Linked DNA regions of Drosophila melanogaster. The protein of the gene in region 2 purifies or fractionates together with the protein of the main gene of each other region. This does not show direct contact. Each region holds a gene or a part of one and is shown on either strand. Other genes may lie near its edges. The genes, in order: Arl8, Mec2 and CG13220.

What was found.
Region 1: the proteins of Mec2 (region 2) and Arl8 purify together in Drosophila melanogaster (affinity purification with mass spectrometry, with the first as the bait; one large-scale study listed by BioGRID). This does not show direct contact.
Region 3: the proteins of Mec2 (region 2) and CG13220 purify together in Drosophila melanogaster (affinity purification with mass spectrometry, with the first as the bait; one large-scale study listed by BioGRID). This does not show direct contact.

What each region holds. Positions count from the first base shown.
Region 1 is NT_033777.3:8,124,865-8,128,620, reverse strand, and holds the start of Arl8 (ADP ribosylation factor-like 8), read right to left. Parts: upstream 2,017-3,756; 5' UTR 1,902-2,016; coding exon 1,779-1,901; intron 581-1,778; coding exon 426-580; intron 360-425; coding exon 198-359; intron 132-197; coding exon 11-131; 3' UTR 1-10. Other genes in the region: CG9667 (uncharacterized protein), read left to right, coding at 2,306-2,308, 2,370-2,392, 2,456-2,616, 2,678-3,309; CG7878 (uncharacterized protein), read right to left, coding at 3,483-3,756. UniProt on the Drosophila melanogaster protein: Required for normal functioning of the late endocytic pathway including lysosome motility and late endosome-lysosome fusion. Not required for the delivery of lysosomal membrane protein-containing vesicles to late endosomes.
Region 2 is NC_004354.4:19,185,879-19,189,634, reverse strand, and holds the start of Mec2 (Mec2), read right to left. Parts: upstream 1,601-3,756; 5' UTR 1,521-1,600; coding exon 1,352-1,520; intron 602-1,351; coding exon 88-601; intron 1-87. Other genes in the region: CG33253 (uncharacterized protein), read right to left, coding at 2,862-3,101, 3,192-3,357, 3,429-3,756.
Region 3 is NT_033778.4:11,282,173-11,285,644, reverse strand, and holds CG13220 (uncharacterized protein), read right to left. Parts: upstream 1,363-3,472; 5' UTR 1,148-1,362; coding exon 686-1,147; 3' UTR 547-685; downstream 1-546. Other genes in the region: CG9062 (uncharacterized protein), read left to right, coding at 1,920-1,961, 2,040-2,259, 2,322-3,316, 3,377-3,472.

The DNA.
Region 1 (3,756 bases), on a different chromosome or scaffold from region 2:
TGTTCGTTATCTAACGACTTTGGCTTTTCGAATGTTGAATTAACCACTGCAGCGTGATGTCAATGTTGTCCTTCTCCTTGCAGGAAATACTATAACAGCAGATTTCACGGTCCTGTATGCTCGATAGATTCCTGCAATTTATTTTAAATGATTAATTTATAATTTTTAAATAGTTTTAACAATTTTAAGGCGCTCACATTCGTTCGATGAGTCCGGTTTCATCGAGAGCGCCTGGAAGATCTCGTTTATTGCCCAGCACGAGAACTGGAATGCCGGCGAGCTGCGGTTTGTCCAACAGTGAGTGCAGCTCGTTCCTCGAGGCCTCTAATTTGTCCAGATCGGCTGCGTCCACCATGTAGCTGTTGATTAATACATTACAGTGTTACTTGACTACCGATTGTTGCTTAAGTATCATTATTGCTTACACAATCGCATTAACGCCGCGACAATAGCGCTCCCACATGGATCGGAATCGAGGTTGGCCTCCGATGTCCCACACCTTGATAGTCACATTGCCTCTGGTGATCTTGCGCATGTTGAATCCAACTGTGGGTATCATGTCCTCAGCGAATTGGCCGGACTACAAGAAACAAAAATAATTAGTAAGTAATCGTGTCTTAAATAAAATACAACTTTTATATTAGCAAAGAACAAAGCCTAGAAGTATGCAATCCAAAATAATGTAAAACTCGTGTAAAAAATTGATTTTTTACACATGACAGCATCCAAAACCTTAAAAAATTTGTTATTCTTTTTGAAAATGCTCTTAAATAAATAACTATTGTAATATCTTAAAGTATTGATCAAACAATGTCTTTTGGTACTAAATTTAATTCAACATACAACACTTAAATTGATAATTGATTCTAACCCATAAATCTTTGTTCTGTATCAGCATCAATCACCTTACATATGCATTCAATAAGAGAATCGAAAGCTCCTAAAATGGCAAGATGTTACTTCTGTGACTTAGTTTAAATTAAAAAGGTATACTATAGGTTAGCAGTCGCTAGTGAAATGGGAAAAGTGACTAATTGGCGCCACCCACAAGTTTGTTTTCATTCCGAACCTGAACATTACACTAATGCACGAATCTGAATGCAAACACGGAATTGGAGTCTAATAGCAGTGATAAGCAGGGGAATATTTCCGTTTCGGGAGCACTTGAACAAACAAATTTCCCGTAGATGCGGGCAGACATTTGAATCGAATTCACATGACTCATAATAAGTCAGGCGGTCACAAAGGCAGTAGTTACTCCACCTCCCGCAACGACTGGCAAGTGTATGCAACTATCTACGAGTTCCAGTAAATGGTAACTTGAGATCGTCGCATTATCAGCGTGCAGAAATGTGTGAAAAAAACCAGGGAGGCGGTACGGGAATACGGGGTCAGGGGTTGAAGTGCTGATAATGGCGTCATTGTGCGGAGAAACATGCGTATATATGGGCTATATGTAGGTTTATTGATTACAGCGGCAGGAACGGTAAACTTTACCACTAAAAGGAAACGGTTAGCACAGCGTTAATTACGGATGCAGTGAAAGAAACTGGGAGTACGAAAAGATAAGAAATAAACAATGTTAGAGTGGGGGAATCAAGCTAAGACCAATTCCTTTGTCACTGGGGGTTTGTAATGCTTTTTAAGTAGTAGCTGATCCCCCGGCTTTCCGTGAACCCCCTCCCCACCCACACAACAGACAACCACACACAAAAAAAACCACCCTCTCACCCATACACCCACACGAATTCGCACACACCCACTGCGAAAATACTCACTGCAATAACATTGACGAACGTCGTCTTCCCGGAGAACTGCAGCCCCACTAGCGTGAGTTCCATCTCCTCTTTCCAGAAGATGCTCTTGAACCACTCGAGGATCCTGTTGATGAGGGCCAACATCCTGGGGCAGGTGTGTTTCTGGTCGGGATCTGCTTGAAATTCGCGAAAAAAGGTTTCCTTTTCCAAAGAGCGTAAATGTTGTCGTGAAAAAACAACTGGGCAGGTCAGTGTGGCCAAGTGCGCGGTAGTGTACTTAGTAGTATTCGTAGTGAATGGTAATCGTTTATTTCAGCATGTATCCAATTAAGAGAAAATAAAATTCATATGGTATATATATATTAAGTACAAATAAATAATATTATGTCTTCGGGTTTCATCGGGAATATTATTAATAAATTGCATTTAAAATATATGTGAAATCGCTACTGGACAATATTTACTGTACTTGCTATCGATAACGTGTAACCGATTTCCGTATAGTTCGCTGTGACTGGCAATTAAGGCAGAAGAAGTTAGTAAACAAAATGGTAAGATGATGTGAAAATTTTATTAATTTTAATTAAATGAATAATACATGTATATTTTCAGGCGCGCAATGCAGAGAAGGCAATGTAAGTAACCCGGATATACGTATAACATAAGATTTCCAGCACTCATCCGCTTATTTTCGACAGGACAACTTTGGCACGTTGGCGGGCCGCAAAAGAAGTGGAATCTGGTGAAAAGGAACGCCGGCCCTATTTGGCCTCCGAGTGCCACGATTTGCCCAGATGTGAGAAGTTCCGCCTGGAGATAATACGCGACATATCGAAGAAGGTGGCCCAGATACAGAATGGTACCTATTTCGGTTTATTTATTTCTCCCTAACAATATACACTAATAGCGACCACTTATAGCTGGCTTGGGAGAATTCCGGATTCGCGATCTGAACGATGAAATCAACAAGTTATTGCGTGAGAAACGGCATTGGGAAAATCAGATATCCTCATTGGGTGGCCCCCACTATAGACGCTATGGTCCCAAGATGTTCGATGCGGAGGGCCGTGAAGTTCCCGGCAATCGAGGCTACAAATACTTTGGAGCCGCCAAGGATCTGCCGGGTGTTCGCGAGCTCTTTGAACAGGATCCTCCGCCGCCACCCAGGAAATCACGCGCTGAACTAATGAAGGACATAGATGCCGAATACTACGGCTATCGAGATGACGAAGATGGTGTTCTGATCCCTCTGGAGGAACGCATCGAACGAGCGGCCATTCAGAAGGCCGTGCAGGAATGGCGGGAGAAAATGGCCAGAGATGGTCGCATAATCGATGACGAAGAGGAGGATGAAATATATCCCCTTTCGGGACCAGCACGCGAAGCCATCGAGGATGCCAAGGCTCGAGCCGCCGTGGAGGATCCTCATGGCCTATTGGCATCCAAGTTCACCGCTCACGTTCCCGTGCCGACGCAACAAGATGTACAGGAAGCACTGCTGCGCCAGCGGAAACGGGAACTGCTGGAGAAATACGCCGGTGGCACTAACTAAGCTCAATAAACATTCTAAACTCTTAGTTTGATACATTTAAATCGCGTGTTCTTTTAACACGGCATGTTTTGGGTTATGATCATCTATAATTGGAATAGATAAATAGTTAAACAATTTTTGGCAAGGCACTTCAATGCGCTCTAGTCTCTTATAACTAGAAAATGTAGAATGAATCAGTATTGAAATTGATCGAAATTTCGGCGTCCGCCGCCACGTCCGCCTCCAAAACGACCACCTCTTCCTCCAAAACCGCCACCTTCAGCAGCGCGCTTGTCCTTCATGGCTTTAAAGCGTCTAGCCATGTTGTGCAGTTCGTCGGGCACTTCCTGCTCCGCCTCCTGCAGTATCTCAATTAGTTCCTTGGCCATAGCCCAATCCTCGCGCGTAAAAAAGCTTATTGATGTGCCCTGTCGGCCAGCACGTCCGGTGCGACCAACACGGTGCACA
Region 2 (3,756 bases):
AGCGGGTGAAGTGCATACAACGTACAGATGTTAAGAAATACTGATCTGATCTGATGGATGTCAAATGCCTACTAAATGGCTACTTACATCTCAACGCGCTCCACCATGACGCCCCACGGCTCGGTGGCCTCGTCCAACGTGGCCTGCATATTGTGGGCCAGGGTTTCGCGCTCGGTTAGCAGTTCGGACAGGTTGCGAGTGCCGACGATATTTCGGAGCGTGGTGGCCGCCAGGAGGCGAGTGGACATGCTGTAGTCCTCGACCTGGATGACCGCATAAAGGGGATCACTGATGCGATAGTAGACAACGGCGTCCACAGTGACCGTCACGGAATCCTTCGTCAGCATCTCCTGCTGCGGCACATTGAAGGTAACCGTGCGCAGGTCCACCTTGCGGTACTCATCGATGCACGGCAGGATGAAGAACATGCCGGGACCACGAGCTCCGCCGCTCAGTCTGCCCAGCCGGAAGATGATCGCCCGCTCGTACTCCGCCACCACCTTGAAGCATATGAAGATGGCGATGGGCGATGTGATGATGAAGATCAGCACGGAGAACAGGGTGACCACCCATTCCATGCAGCCCTTGGGCTCGTTCTCCGCTGCAATGGGATGTTAGGAATATGAATATGAAATATTCATCTACAAAATGGCCATATTTCAGGCATATGTGTACAATAATTGTGCCGCAAGAGAAACGTAGATAAGTCCACTTCAATTCGATGGCCAAGATGAAGTACCTTCTTTGTCCGGATTCCGAAGAGACCAACTTATTATTAAGTAAAACAGGACTATGATGGACTATGTAACAACTTGAAAAAGAGAAAGCTGTGAAAAGCAATAGCCATCACAATCAAAAAAAAGAAAACACGGATAAACACCAATCAGCCCGCTTATCTTGGAGTCCAATAAAAATTCCTACGATTAAAAATATAGACAGGTGTAATATATATGCGCCAATACAATTAGAATGTTGTAGCAATTGACGATTATGTGGGATTACGATGGAAATCAAATTGCTACTAGTACTACTTTGATAAAGCGAGAGATAGTTTGTATTTTTAGAACTCCTATCTAGTGAATACTATTAACCGAATCAAGCGGTTTTGCATGTCTGAAATATTGTAGAATGCTTTGAGCCAAAAACAAACTTTTCACGCGATCAAAATGCTGTTGCAATCTTATCTGAACCAGCGATTCCAAGAAATCGTATCTCAATCGATCTAAAGTGATTAGCGCTTGACAGTAAGCAAAGACTTGTTTTTTTTTAACAATAATAATTCTCCTAATATTGGCCGGGATGGGTCATCATCTTGCTGCATCTATAGTATACACCGTTTCCGCCCGCTTACAAGTTTTGAATCCACGATACTGCTGCGTGGTGCCGGGCACTCGAAGTGCCGGCTCGGGTGCCATGCCGGCGGCGCCCATGTTGACCATGTACGCCGTGGAGCTGGCCGGCCCAGAGTTGCGCATATCTTCGTAGTTGGCGTACACGGGCGAATCCTGGTGCGGCTCCATTGCTGTTTCTCTGCTCCGTTCTGGCCTACGTTCGTTGCTCTCCGATCGGCTATGGATTCGAAACTGTCGCCAGCGGTCAGCGCCGCAAAAGCCAAACTGAATGCCCAAAAGCGTTCTCACGTGATAAGAGCGCACTGGTTCTCTCAGATACGAAGTATCGCATTGGCATTATCGCTACGCTGAGCTGCCGAGCGGCTTAAATGCGATTCAACAGTGAGAGAAAAGAAGCACTGCACTGAAACACCACGAACCAAGTGTGCCGCCACTGAAAGAGGCGATCTCTAGTCCGTACATCCTCCACAGCAATTGAGCACATGCCATATAAGAGAATGTAATGGAATGGAATGTAAATGCATCGGCTCGTAAATTTTCGTTCAGTGTAGTGTATCTACGACCGGGGAAACACCAAGAGCCGCTCTGTAAGTCGAGAGCCATGGGTCACCACGGATGATTCACTGCACTGCGCCGAAAGAATTGCCAACTGGAGGCGTACACTTTCAGATTATTCCGACCGACGATCAATGAAAGCCGAGTAAGCTCTATCTGGCCCAAGTGCGTTTAGCACTTTAATCAATCGGTTATCTCAGCTGGAGCATTGAGACGCAGTTCTGCTTTGGGGTCACGGGTCATTGGCTGGAGCCACCCGATGGTGACTCAATTCTGATCTGGCGGTCACATTAGCACTGAAGAGCTTATCTGCCACACTCGCTGAAGTGGCATGCAAATCTGAGTTATTTAGATAAGCGAAGAGCAAATATGTACATACATATATATATATCATATATAAATGTAAATTTTGTTGTTTCGAAAAAGGGGGAAGAACTGAAAAAAAAAATGTGTTTTCTGAATCATTTGGTTTATTTAAATGGTTAGCTTTTACCCTGGTTTGTAGTTAGCTATTGTTATTAATTCTTAAGATACAAACAAATAATATTGGTTATTTTAAATATAACGTCTCTACTTAAAACGACTGTGAATGAAGAAGGAAAAGCCTTGGAAAAGCCTCAGTTACTATTGCATACTAAATTCGACATATTAGAATAAATTCTAAAAAAAAAAAATTTATTTTTAAGTCCGAACCATGTTTGAATCTCTCCAGAATCTAGGGAATTCCATGGCACTTTCATTCGAATTCATTGGTGACTCATTTTCCGGATTTTCCGGACAGTTCCGCTTTCTGTCGCTGCTGCCGCCGTTCCACTAGAGCAAGAAACCCACGATGTCGTCATCGTCATCCGCCGCTCCCGCTGCAGCCGCTCCGCTTCGCTGTTGCTTCTGCTGACGCTGCAGCTCGCAGCGATGCAGTGCCTCCAGATATGGTTGCAGCACCGACATCGAGCGTCACTGGTGGTGTTGGTGCGGGTGTCGATGGAGTGGCGTGCCAGGAGCCGCAGGATGTTGTTGTTGTTGGTGCTGATGCTGCTGCTGTTGCTGTTGCAGCTGCTGCTGGTGTTGCAGTTGCAGCTGCTGCGAGTGTGCTTGGGTATTCAGGAAGGGCGTGAGCAGCTCCATGGGCAGCGGGAAGATGATGGTCGAATTCTTCTCGGTTGAAATGCTGCTCAGTGTTTGCAAGTATCGCAACTAAGTAGAGAAGAAGATGGAACGAATGAAACCATTTGGGCCAGTTCCAAATGTCCGATGGTTGGATTCAGATGGAAGAAGATGACTCACCTGCAGGGCGGATGGACTGGCCGAGATGATCTCGGAAGCCTCGCGCAGAGCCCTCGACGACTTCATCTCGCCCTCGGCGGCAATGACCTTGGCCCGCGCCTCCCTCGCTGCCTCCGCCTCGGCGGCCATCGCCCGCTGGAGGGCAGTTGGCAAGGATACGTCCTTGCTGCAAGCGGATCATGGATAGAGTGGATCATGTCATGATCACATCACGACTTTCGGCAGTTGGCTACTCACATCTCCACGCGCTCCACCTTAACGCCCCAGGGATCGGTGGCCTCGTCCAGGGACATCTGCATGGTGTGCGAGATGGTCTCGCGTTCGGTCAGCAGCTCGGACAGATTCCTGGTGCCGAGCACATTGCGCAGCGTGGTGGCCGCCAGGAGACTCGTCGAATGGCTGTAATTGTACACCTGGATGACCGCCTTGAGGGGATCGCTGATGCGGTAGTAGACAACCGCATCTACCGTCACAGTAACCGAGTCCTTGGAGAGCACCTCCTGCGGCGGCACGTCAAAGGAGACGGTGCGCAGATCCACCGGATAGTAGTCGTCCACGCAGGGCA
Region 3 (3,472 bases), on a different chromosome or scaffold from region 2:
AAATGCAATATGTATTCATAACTAAGTTGATTCGAATTTTTTGCAGCGCGAAAATCATTTCCTTTTGAAGACAACCGTTGCAACGATTTTCAATGATTTTTTTTAGTATATATAATGGTATATATATATATATACATACTGATTTATTGATAGTTAAGTCCGACCATTGAGCGTTTGTAAAGTATGTATACAAGAATTAAAAATAAGTTTAAAGTGTATAATTCGCAATACAAAAAGAATATATTTACCATAAAGTAGTCGTCAATTCAAAGTCGCCAAGGCAATTTGTAGAATGTTTTAATCCGACAAGAATGTACATATTGGCGTTTCCGATTAGATGTTTTTATATAAACGAAGTAACCATTTATAAAGGTAACGCATATACCACACATACATAACATAAATTAAAACAATTCAATTGTTAAGCATTACTAGCAGTTAAGAGACGGCAATTAAAGGTACATTTAATTTAAAATAAACGCAAACATTTTCAATCTACACCCGGCATTATCCATCTCTTGACACAGCAAAACACACCGCTCAGTCGGGTTTATAGTATAATTTTATTCAAATATGCGGGAGATAATATTGCATTACGAGCTATGTACGGCCAAGACAGCAATTACAGTACGAACCCACTTTTGGGTTCGAATACCTCAGTCCTATATCGTATCGATCAGATCATCTAGTTCTTCTGCAGCTTATCCACGTCCTGAATGTAATCAGTGCCGACCTTCACGATGGCGGCGCCAGTTCCCAAGCCCGCCAGGGTCGCCAGCAGTGCATTGTCCTGTGGCAGGGCGGACTTGATGAGCGCCCAGGCCAGAACGGATCCCATGGAGAATAGGGTGGCGCCCAGCAGGGCGTACGCACCTCGCTTGTTGTTCTTCACGTCCTTCAGGTGGGGCCTGCCGTAAATGTAGAAGGCACTGCCCACCACCGCGGAGATGAGGAACACGTTCGTCAGGTCCTTCTTGGGCAGGATTTTGGGCACGATCTGGGGGTTCATAACATTCACCGCAAGGGCTCCGTAGCTCACCAGGCCGTGCAGCGGTATGTAGTAGTTGAACACATTATCCCGGGTGAAGGGCTTGAGGCCCACTTTGTCGCATATGCTGCAGGCGTCTTTTGACTGTGTCCCGGCCATTATTATCGGTGAAAATGCAATTAAGTTTTTGGATCCCGGTGAGGTCGACGAGTCTTCTTCTTCTTGTTATGTAAAGAATAGGGCTGCCAGGTCGCGATATATGTGAAAGTTATGTCGGTCTTCGCGGACACTCTGCAGATGGTATATCACTGGTTCTAGGTAGATATGTGTATAAAGATGTAAATGTTTTGACCAATATAATATGTCAATGTCTGAGAGATCCTAATATATAAATGTACATATCTGACAGGGAGAGTACTTGTTATCAAGGGCTTTAACGCTTGGAGCGCTCATGTTAGTGGGCGTTTTGCGTATTTGCATAACATTAGCCCCGATATTTCCTGAATGTACAATTAAAAACAAATGTTATAGTTATTTTCTTGGCTGGTTTTTTAAAAATTTTCGAATTTTTAAGTTTAGTGGTTCCGGAACGAGTCACCTTTCTGAACAAGAAGTGTCAACTCTGTTGAACAGCCGGCACGGTGTGCACAACCAGGTGGCAACACCAGCCGGCGCAGGAGAATGAGTGGAGGAGTGCCTGAGAGGTGGGAGGACCGAATGGGGAGAGACAGAGAGCGAAATAGGTGCGAAAAATTTGTAGTTGCCTGGAAATTCCTCAATTTCAATTTGCAAAAAGTAAATATCAGCCGCCCCAAAGCAACGTCGATAAATGTGCGCGCCCCGCGAGCAGAGAACAACCAACGCCAGCTCCTGAAGCACTTCAGTCCAGAGATATCGCCGAGAGCCACAGTGCAGCAGATCCGTGGACGACATGTTGACGCACAAAACTTGTCAGGCACGTAAGAAAATGCAGGTGAGTGCGCCAATTGAAAACGGGAAGGAAAGCGGACACCTAAGCCCAAACTAATTCAATTAAACCGTCGGACGCCAGGTTTCCTTCGTGATACGGGACGCCGAGGAGAAACAGCACCGGAATGGCGTAAACGCTCTGCAGCTGGATGCCAATAACGGCAAGTTGTACTCCGCCGGTCGCGACGCCATAATCCGTGTGTGGAATACACGGACGGACTCCAGCGAGAAGTACATACAATCGATGGAGCACCACAACGACTGGGTCAACGACATAGTACTTTGCTGTAATGGCAGGAACCGTGAGTTGCTCCACCGATCAGTTTAGGCATTCATTCAAACATTCAATCTTTTGCACTCATAGTTATTAGCGCCAGCTGTGATACCACGGTGAAGGTGTGGAACGCCCAGAAAGGCTTCTGCATGTCCACCCTGCGGACCCATCGCGACTACGTGCAGGCGTTGGCCTACGCCAAGGATCGGGAACAGGTGGCCAGCGCTGGACTGGACAAGGCCATCTTCCTGTGGGACGTGAACACACTGACCGCGCTCACGGCGAGCAATAACACGGTTACCACCTCTAGTCTAACCGGGTCCAAGGACTCAATCTACAGCTTGGCCATGAATCCATCGGGCACCGTGATTGTGAGCGGGTCCACGGAGAATATACTGCGTATCTGGGATCCCCGCACCTGTATGCGCAGAATGAAGCTGCGAGGCCATACGGAGAACGTGCGCTGCTTGGTGGTGTCGCCCGATGGAAACCAGGTGGTGTCTGGCAGTTCCGACGGCACGATCAAGGTGTGGAACCTGGGCCAACAGCGCTGTGTTCAAACCATCCACGTGCACAAGGAGGGCGTGTGGTCGCTGCTGATGAGCGAGAACTTCCAGTACATCATCTCCGGCAGTCGGGATCGCAACATCATTGTGACCGAGATGCGGAACCCTAGTAACAAAACGCTTGTGTGCGAGGAGCAGGCGCCCGTGCTGAGTCTGGGCTACAACATCGACAAGACTGGGGTGTGGGCCACCACCTGGAACTCGGACATTCGCTGTTGGAAGCTGCCCATGTACGACAGGTGCACACTAAATTCCTCGGGCGGAATGGACGCACAATGGACACAGGGCGGCACTGAGGTGGCCTGCATAAAAGGTGGAGCCGCCATCAAGGAGTGCGCGGTGCTGAACGACAAACGTTATATCATAACCAAGGACTCACAAGATCAGGTCGTGGTGTACGATGTGCTGAGAGTTGTCAAAAAAGAGCAATTGGGCGCTGTTGATTTCGAAGCGGAGGTGAAGAAGCGTAATAAGCAGGTCTACATTCCAAACTGGTTCACTGTTGATCTGAAAACCGGGGTGAGTTAAGCTAAGCTCTATTGAAGCTTAAGTTCGTTTATACTTAATTATGCTTTGCAGATGCCAACGATTGTATTGGGTCAGGAGGAAGTGGATTGCTTTTCCGCTTGGGTTTCCATTGAAGCTGGACTGCCGGAGTGCGTCGATCCCACAACA